2 linked regions of the Oryctolagus cuniculus genome follow. The protein of the gene in region 1 purifies or fractionates together with the protein of each later gene. This does not show direct contact. Links are inferred from orthologs where the notes say so. Each region holds a gene or a part of one and is shown in the gene's direction. Other genes may lie near its edges. The genes, in order: DYRK2 and UBR5.

Evidence for each region.
Region 2: the proteins of DYRK2 (region 1) and UBR5 purify together in Homo sapiens (affinity purification with western blotting; 3 studies listed by BioGRID and IntAct, with this or other methods). This does not show direct contact. The link is inferred for Oryctolagus cuniculus from reciprocal best matches to the Homo sapiens genes DYRK2 and UBR5.

The regions. Positions count from the first base shown.
Region 1 is NC_091442.1:70,020,033-70,024,367, forward strand, and holds the start of DYRK2 (dual specificity tyrosine-phosphorylation-regulated kinase 2), read left to right. Parts: upstream 1-1,521; 5' UTR 1,522-1,925; coding exon 1,926-1,974; intron 1,975-2,526; coding exon 2,527-2,675; intron 2,676-3,105; exon of another isoform or gene 3,106-3,430; coding exon of another isoform or gene 3,431-3,490; intron 3,491-4,335. UniProt on the Homo sapiens protein: Serine/threonine-protein kinase involved in the regulation of the mitotic cell cycle, cell proliferation, apoptosis, organization of the cytoskeleton and neurite outgrowth. Functions in part via its role in ubiquitin-dependent proteasomal protein degradation.
Region 2 is NC_091437.1:127,610,557-127,614,361, reverse strand, and holds part of UBR5 (E3 ubiquitin-protein ligase UBR5), read left to right. Parts: intron 1-911; coding exon 912-1,180; intron 1,181-1,342; coding exon 1,343-1,554; intron 1,555-3,538; coding exon 3,539-3,769; intron 3,770-3,805. UniProt on the Homo sapiens protein: E3 ubiquitin-protein ligase involved in different protein quality control pathways in the cytoplasm and nucleus. Mainly acts as a ubiquitin chain elongator that extends pre-ubiquitinated substrates.

The DNA.
Region 1 (4,335 bases):
TTGGTAGGCCAGTTCAAGTCATGATTCTTCTAAAGGTACAGTACTGCATTGACTATTTAACTGTGGCTCACCTTAATTAGGAGGAAGCTTCAAGAGGATTTTTTTTTTTTTTTTTTTTTTTTGGAGGAGGGGGACGTATTATCGGCCAAATCCGGATTCCCTCTGCCAGGGCTCCAACCCTGAAGCAAGACCTCTGTAGGAGAGGGTCAAGCTGTTACCTTGTCACTCTCGGATCCTGGTATCTATGTGAAGCTGAGGGTGAGCTCTGTGGGAGGTTGCTGTGACAATTGCCAACAGGAGAGGCGAGGCACTCCGCAGGAGGTGGCTCCCTCCCCCTGGGCTTTGCCTGCTAGGTCCAGCCAGGGCCGGAGATGGGGCTGGGCAGAGCAGAAAGCACCCATGTCCCCGGCAGAACCTCAGACACCTGGCATCTCTCAGGAAGGAAGTTCAGGGCGACTTTCTGCCCTCATCCGGGATTTGTCCGGTTCTGCCCCAACCTCCTCCCAGACCGGTGAAGTGGCAAAACTTGGTGACCTTTGGACAAAGGCGCACAGCGCGCCACCCAGGACGGGGGCACGGGTCCGAGGCGGGCGAGCACGTTTTCAGTCCACCAGGGAAAGGGAGGCCGCAGACGGCACAATGCAAGGGCAGACACATTCTGCACGTGCCTTGGAAGCCGGCGGGAGAGCTTGGTCTGCGAGGATGCGAGCAGAGAGGCAAGGCGCTGAAAGGAAGGTGTGTCTCTCCCAGCGGCCGCAGAGGGAAGGCTGGAGTTGCAAGGAAATGGGAGGCGTCTCTGGTGTTGATTTTTGCCTAGCAACCCACAGCCAACTGCTTCCCCGGCTGCCGTCCACGCGCGCCTCTCTGCCTCCCCCTTGTCCTAGCGACTGGAGAGCGGTCACTCGGTGTCAGTAAAGCGGGGAGGGAGAGTGTGGTGGAGGTGGAGGTGGCGGCGGGAGGGCAGCCCCCTTTGCCCGAGCTGGGGGTTCCCGGGCTCAAGGCGGCCCCGCCGCGGGGCTCGGCCATCCGCGGTGACCCGCGCACAACTAAGTTGTCCACGTGATGAACCGGGGGACGCGGGTCGTTAAGTCCCCGGGCGCGCTGCGGGGGAGACAGTATTGTTCGCGAGCAGCCATTAGGTCCGCCAAGCAGAAAATGCGGCCGTGTTTGGGGGCGCGCGGGGAAGGGGAGGGGTCTCTGCAGCGAGGTCGGTGGGTGGGGGAGGATGCGGGGGTAGGCTGCGCTCAGGGCAAAGGCGGGGCCCGGCAAGGGCTAGGGCAGCCGGGGAGGGGGCCAGGCGTCGGTGCGGGAGCGAGGGGCAAGGGGCCGATGGCGGGAGGCGGACGTGGCCGAGCTGTGCCCGGAGCCGATCCCGGCTGTGCAGGCGCCCGGGCGGCCGCGTGGGGGTGGGGAGCACGGCAGGGTGCGGGACTGGGCCGGGGGCAGCCGGGGGCGGGGCCTGCGGCGGGGGCGGGGCTGCCCTCCCGGGGCGCGCGCGGGCGCGGGCGCCTGGGCGAGAGTGCGCGGGGGCGCGCGCGCGCGCGAGCCAGGAGGAGGCTCTGGAGCTAGGCGGTCGGCGCGGCGCTGCCCGCTCCCCGCGCCCCTATGTGAGGGAATCGGGGAGGCCCGCGGCGCGCAGGGGAGGGCGAGGCATGAGCACGGGCCGGGGGGTGCTGCGGCCGCCCGAGGAAGAGGAGGACGGCGGCGGCGGCGAGGAGGAGAGCGGGGGGCTCCCGGCTGCGGGCCCGGGCCGAGGGGATGCAGCCGGCTGTGTGTGTCTGGCTGTAGCTGACGCGAGGCGGCCAGGCGGCGCCGGGGACCCGCCCGAGGGGCGACCGGGAGGCGGCGGCCGCCGCGAGAAGTAGCAGCGGGACCGGCGGCGGCGGAGACGGCAGCCCTGAGATGCATTTTCCTCTCCAGCGGCCATGTTAACCAGGAAACCTTCGGCCGCCGCTCCCGCCGCCTACCCGACCGGTAAGGAGGGCTGGGCCCCCCGCGCCGCCCCCGTCAGCCCCAGGCCAGCCCCGGAGCTCGTGCGGCCACCGCCGCGGGACCTGGAGCGAAGTGTGCGGTGGGGAGCGGGCAGCGGGCTGGCGGCCGGCGCGCCCTCGCCTCGCCTCGCCCGGCTCCGCGCATTGTTGCACGCGGCCCGCAGGCTCCTTCGCGGGAGCCCTCGGCCCCCGCCGGGCGGCGGCGCGCTGGGGGCCCGGGCGGGGTGCGCCGGGGCCGTCCCCCACCCGCGCTGTGAGCTCGGAGAGGCCGCTGCGCCCTCCTCGGCCCCGGCCGTCCGCAGCGCGGGCCGCGAATCCCCGGCCCGGCTCGCGAACTCGCGCGCCGGTGCCCGACTTAACTTTGCCGCTGTGGCGCCCCGCCCGTGGGGGCGCGCTGGGGAGCCGGGGCCCCGGCGGGTGTCTGCCACTGGAAGGAGGGGTGTTCTGCCCGGAGGGGCGGTGGGGGAGGTCGGGGTTCGGATGACTTTTTTCCGCCCCTGACCCTCTTTTGTCTCCTCCCGTGCGTGGCTCCCAGGCCGAGGAGGGGACAGCGCCGTTCGTCAGCTTCAGGCTTCCCCCGGGCTCGGCGCGGGGGCCCCCCGGAGCGGAGTGGGGACCGGCCCGCCCTCCCCCATCGCCCTGCCGCCTCTCCGGGCCAGCAACGCGGCCGCCACGGCCCACACGGTGAGACCCCGCCCGCGGGCGGCCACGGGTGGGGGGCGGCCTGGAGGGTTCCCTCGGGGCACAAGCGCCCGGGCTTCCGGGGCTCGGACGCCTCCGAGGGAAGGTCGAAGTGCGTGCGGCCCCGGTGACTTGGGCGAGCCCCAAACTGCAGCTACAAAAGGAAGATTCGTGGCGTGGGCCCCCACACTTCCCCCCGCAGAGCTCGCCCACCCCCAAGCTTGCCTTCCTCATTGTCGCTCTCCTTCTCCCTTCCTTATTTTTTCTGTCCTTGCTTCTCAGAGCTCCACGCCCTGACCCGGTAAACATCTGTCCTGCCCCCCCCCAACACACCCTCCCGTGGGTCGTGGCTATTTATAGAAACAGATATGTGTTAGGGGACAGTCAGGCTGTCCTGCTAGGAAAATCGATCCCCCCAAGAGCCTCCCAGGCCCGGCTGCAGCCAGCAGGGAGCCCCACCAATTGTCCCCCCGCGTGTGTAAGCATGTTTTATGAGTGCTACAGGTTTGAGCACAGCAGAAATTGTAATTAACATTAACAAAAATAAGCGCCACAGCAGCAGTCAAAACAAAACCAGCCACCCCGGCAGGATCCTGCAGTTGGGCATTATGGGGCCAGCCTTGCTCCGGAGGTGGGAAGACCAGGGCACCTGACAGGTGCTGTGTGCCCTCGGAGCCCCAGGAGGGAGGGGCCGGCCCAGCCTGGCCCGGCGTGGGACCAGCGGCCACCATGGTGGGCAAGCTGCCCTGGACTCCAGCATGTGCTTTCGCTTTGCTCCCAGCGAGAGCCCTCGGATGGAGACTGCCAGCTCCCAGGAGGTGATCTCAGGGTTCAGAGGTTTTGCAGCTTCCAAGCGGAACCACCTAAAATGGTTCTGCATGAGGGGTGCGATTTTGTTTGCCAAGTGAAAAGTTGAGTTCTAGCAAAGGGGAGCAGCTCTGGGGATGGTGGGTTCTGGGGAAACCTGTTTATCAGAGAATCAGAGAGGCAATCTAGGGTGCAGTTTGCACCTGTTAGAGCTAGGAAGCTGCTTTGTTATTTACCTCCCTTCTGACAACACAGCAGTTGCCTAATCAGTGTTGGATTGTTGATGTCAGGGAGAGTCTTGTTGGGAGGATGGATGATTCTGTATTTGTTAAATGTTCTTATCACACTGATGTTTTAGAATCTGCCATTGGTTTTAGGGGTTTGGGTTTTTTGTTTGTTTGGTTTGGAATCATCTGGCAATTTGGCAAATGTAACATCTAGGGTTTTTTTTTTCCCCCCTGTGTGTTGATATACTCACATGACGTGATGTGAACTGGAAAAAAAGTACTTAGTTTACAACTGGATTCCAATTTTGTCAGGGTGCACTTTGTGCCATCAGAGCCTCTTTACAATTGAAATGTGTAGTGAATGTAGGGAAGGCAGAGTCTCCCCTGGAGGAGCAGCCAGTACTGCTGCAGCCAAGACGCCCTGTGTATGTGCTTCTGAGGACTGGCCTGTTTCAGACATTATGTTGCTGCTGATTAGGTACATGCTTTCAGAACTGTGAATGTGGTTGGTCGTTGAGTTTGGATTTTATTTGTGTAACATCGCAGATTTCCTAGAACAGGAGAGTTAAAGGAATATAGAGTTTATCACGTTCTGCTCCTTTGATTTGCAGAGGAAGAAACAGACATGT
Region 2 (3,805 bases), on another chromosome or scaffold:
GGGTAGCTTTTATTTGGTGGGGACTGTCTTGTGCACTGTAGGATGTTAAGCAGCATCCTTAGCTTCTCCCCGCCAGCTGTCAGTAGCACCTCCCTTCCCTTCCCCTGTGCGACCCCGCCAGTGTGAGGTCCAGAGTCATCTGTAGACATGCCACATGTCCTCTTTGGCAGAGGGGCAGGATACAGAGTCATCCCTGGTGGAGAACATTGTGTTAAATTCTTGCTTCCCTCAACACAAGCCTACCTAAATTAGTAGGGTTTAGGAAAACTTCTTTGCTCACTGATGACATGTTAGCAATTGATCAGACTGTTTAATAAAATTTGACAGAAAAATTGTATATATTTATGGGGTACTGTGTGATTGTGTTGTACATGTATACATTTTTGTCATGTCCAATTTGGGTAAATATACTTGTCCTTTCAAGCATTTAACATTTCTTTATAGTGAAAACATTACAAAATTCTACCTTCTAGTATTGTTTTAGATGGTGACATGTACAGTACAGTGTCTGTATTCATTCTGCTGTGCAGTAGAACCCCAGAACTTCTCATTCCTGTCTTGTAACCTGGTACCCGTCAGTCAGCCTTTGCTTACCGCTTCTTCCTTACTTCTCTTCCCAACCTCTGGAAATCACCATTATGCTTTTAACTTCTCTGAGATCACCTGTGTTTTTACATTCCACATATGAGTGAGATCATGTAATATTTGTCTGTCTTTGTATGCTTGTCTTATTACACTGCATAATGCTCTCTGTTCTATCCATGTTGTGCAAATGCTAGTTTTTTTTTTTTTTAATGCCTTAGTAATATTGCATTGTGTATATGTGACCATTTAGATTTACCTAAGTATATGCAGTGCCGGAGAAACACAATTAGCAACTGACTCATTGTGGTTGTCCTTTTTCCTTATAGCAAGTTCGGCGGGTTTGATTTATATTGATCCTTCAAACTTACGCCGGAGTGGTACCATCAGTACGAGTGCTGCAGCTGCAGCAGCTGCCTTGGAAGCTAGTAATGCCAGCAGCTACTTAACATCTGCAAGCAGTTTAGCCAGGGCTTACAGCATTGTCATCAGACAAATCTCGGACTTGATGGGCCTTATTCCTAAGTATAACCACCTAGTGTACTCTCAGATTCCGGCAGCTGTGAAATTGACTTACCAAGATGCAGTAAACTTGCAGGTATGAAACTGATGAAAAATTACTCATTTGAATACTTTTTTGCCTATAATTTTGAAAATTCTAGTATAATGGGAATAAATATGACAAACGTTGACATACTACTGCTGTATCGAATTTAGCTCTATTTGGATAGTTTTAACTATTTTAGTTTGGTCTTCATAGAACTATGTAGAAGAAAAGCTTATTCCCACTTGGAACTGGATGGTCAGTATTATGGATTCTACTGAAGCTCAATTACGTTATGGTTCTGCATTAGCATCTGCTGGTGATCCGGGACACCCAAATCATCCTCTTCACGCTTCTCAGAATTCAGCGCGAAGAGAGAGGATGACTGCGCGAGAGGAGGCTAGTTTACGAACCCTTGAAGGCAGACGGTATGAAATTCTTCATGAATATGCGTATGCTTAGACCATGGCCCTTGTACTCTAGAGTTAGACCTTGTTGAGTGCTGTTACAGATGCATTCTATTATGAAAGAGGAAGTAAGCACCTCCCATTCCATTAAGTATTTTACATTGTTCTGTAGTTGAAGCCAAATAAGTTCTAACCCAAACTGTGCTTTTACAATCCATTCATATCATCAGATTCTGACAGTGGAGACTTTTCAGTTTTGAAATTGTTGGTCCATATCCTTGTCTCATTTATCTCCCAGGCCTCTCCTGCCTTCCTTTTGAAACGGTCCTATTCACAGAAAAACTTTGACCATGACTGAGCATAAATGTCCTTGGTGCTCAAGAAGAAGTATACGTGATTACCAAAGTCCCTCGTGGCTTGTGCAGTCACGTTTTCTCCTCTGTCTCCACCAAGCTGTTGAATCATAGTTAAAAATACATACCTTTAGGTACTTAGGTTCTTTCTCTTCGTCCATAAAGTGAACTAGCACTTAACCTAGACATTGACCTCTTGAGTGACAGCTGTATCACAAAAGTAGAAAGGCCCTGTGCCTAAAGCCCAAGTTTAAGGATTTACCTCGCCCTCCCCTCTGGCTCAGGCTAAGCAACCTTGTCGTTTTGGTTAGATCATGAAGGAGGAAGGATGAGGCTCTAGAAAGTGCTTAGAAAAATTAAGGCTGTTTTAGAGCTCACGAGAGGTATTAGTTACTGAAGTAGGGCAGTGAAATCCTGGAAGGAGGGGAGAGAAGCCTTAATCCCTCTCTAGAATTTAGGGCCTTTCATGAGACATGGAGCAGGAGTTGGCAGAATTTATATTTGTATTTAGACCTGGACTCTGAATAGCGGGTGGGAAAGTTAAGAGAAAACTCCAGAAGGGTGGAATGGACACACTTTTAATTTGGTCGAACTGTCTAGGATGCAAAATTGGATACTTGGCAGAGATAGCTAACTAGAGACAGGTTTGGGAGGCAGCCGCTGTCCCAAGAAGCCTGTTCCACACAGAGGTGAAAGCCTTGTTTCTTTCAGGATATCCCTCCCCCAGAGAACAGGGAATTCTCTTATTGAATCCTTATTGGTAGGTGTATGTGTGTGTGTGCATGTGCACGTGTGTGCCTGCCTTTTCTCTCCCTCTCTCTCAGGATAGCTATATTGATATATAATTCATATACCATGTGTACAATTCTGTACTTTTTTAACTGTAATTATCATCCTAATCAATTTGGAATATTTTCTTCATCTCTGCAAGAAATGGTAGCAGTCATTCTCCATTTTCCACCGGTCTCTGCCCTTTGGCACAATTAGTCTGCTTTGTGTCTATGGATTCTGGATATTTGTGTAAATGGAATCATACATTATGTGGTATTTTGTGACAGGCTCCTTGCACATAGCTATCTAATGGTTTTAAGTTCACCATGTTTATCATGCATCAGTATCTCATTCCTTTCCTAATATTTCATTGTACAGATATATCATATTTTGTTTATCCATTTGTCAGTTGCTGGGCTTTTGACTTACTTCAGCCTGTTCAGTATTTTGCATAGTGCTGCCATGAGCTTGAATAAGTATTTTCACTTCTCAAGGCAGGTGTTAACTCTATTTAACCTTCTAAGACACTGTCACATTATTTTTCAAAGAAGAGGACACTCCGTAATAACATTTAAGAGTTTAATTTCTCTCTGTCTTCAGCAGCGGTCCATTTTTTATTATGCCCAACCTGCAGAGGTGTGACACTGGGTCTCTGTGGTTTTGGTTTGCATTTCCCTAATGGGCTATGAATGATAGGGATCATCTTTTCATGTATTAACTGGCAAGCTTGCATATCTTTGGAGAAATGTTTATTTACAGTCTTCTCTAGTTTTTAATTGGCTTGTTTCTGTTGGCTCATGAGTTCCTTTTTCTGGATATAAACTTCTTATCAAATACATAACTTGCAAAAATTCTGCCTTTCTCTTTTCTTTGTTCTGTAGACGTGCCACATTGCTTAGCGCCCGTCAGGGAATGATGTCTGCTCGAGGAGACTTTCTGAATTATGCGCTCTCTCTCATGCGGTCACATAACGACGAGCACTCAGATGTTCTTCCAGTTCTGGATGTTTGCTCATTAAAGCATGTGGCCTATGTCTTCCAAGCCCTTATCTATTGGATTAAAGCAATGAACCAGCAGACAACATTGGATACACCTCAGCTGGAACGCAAAAGGTGGCTATACTTGTGATTTCTTTTTTTTTTAGATCG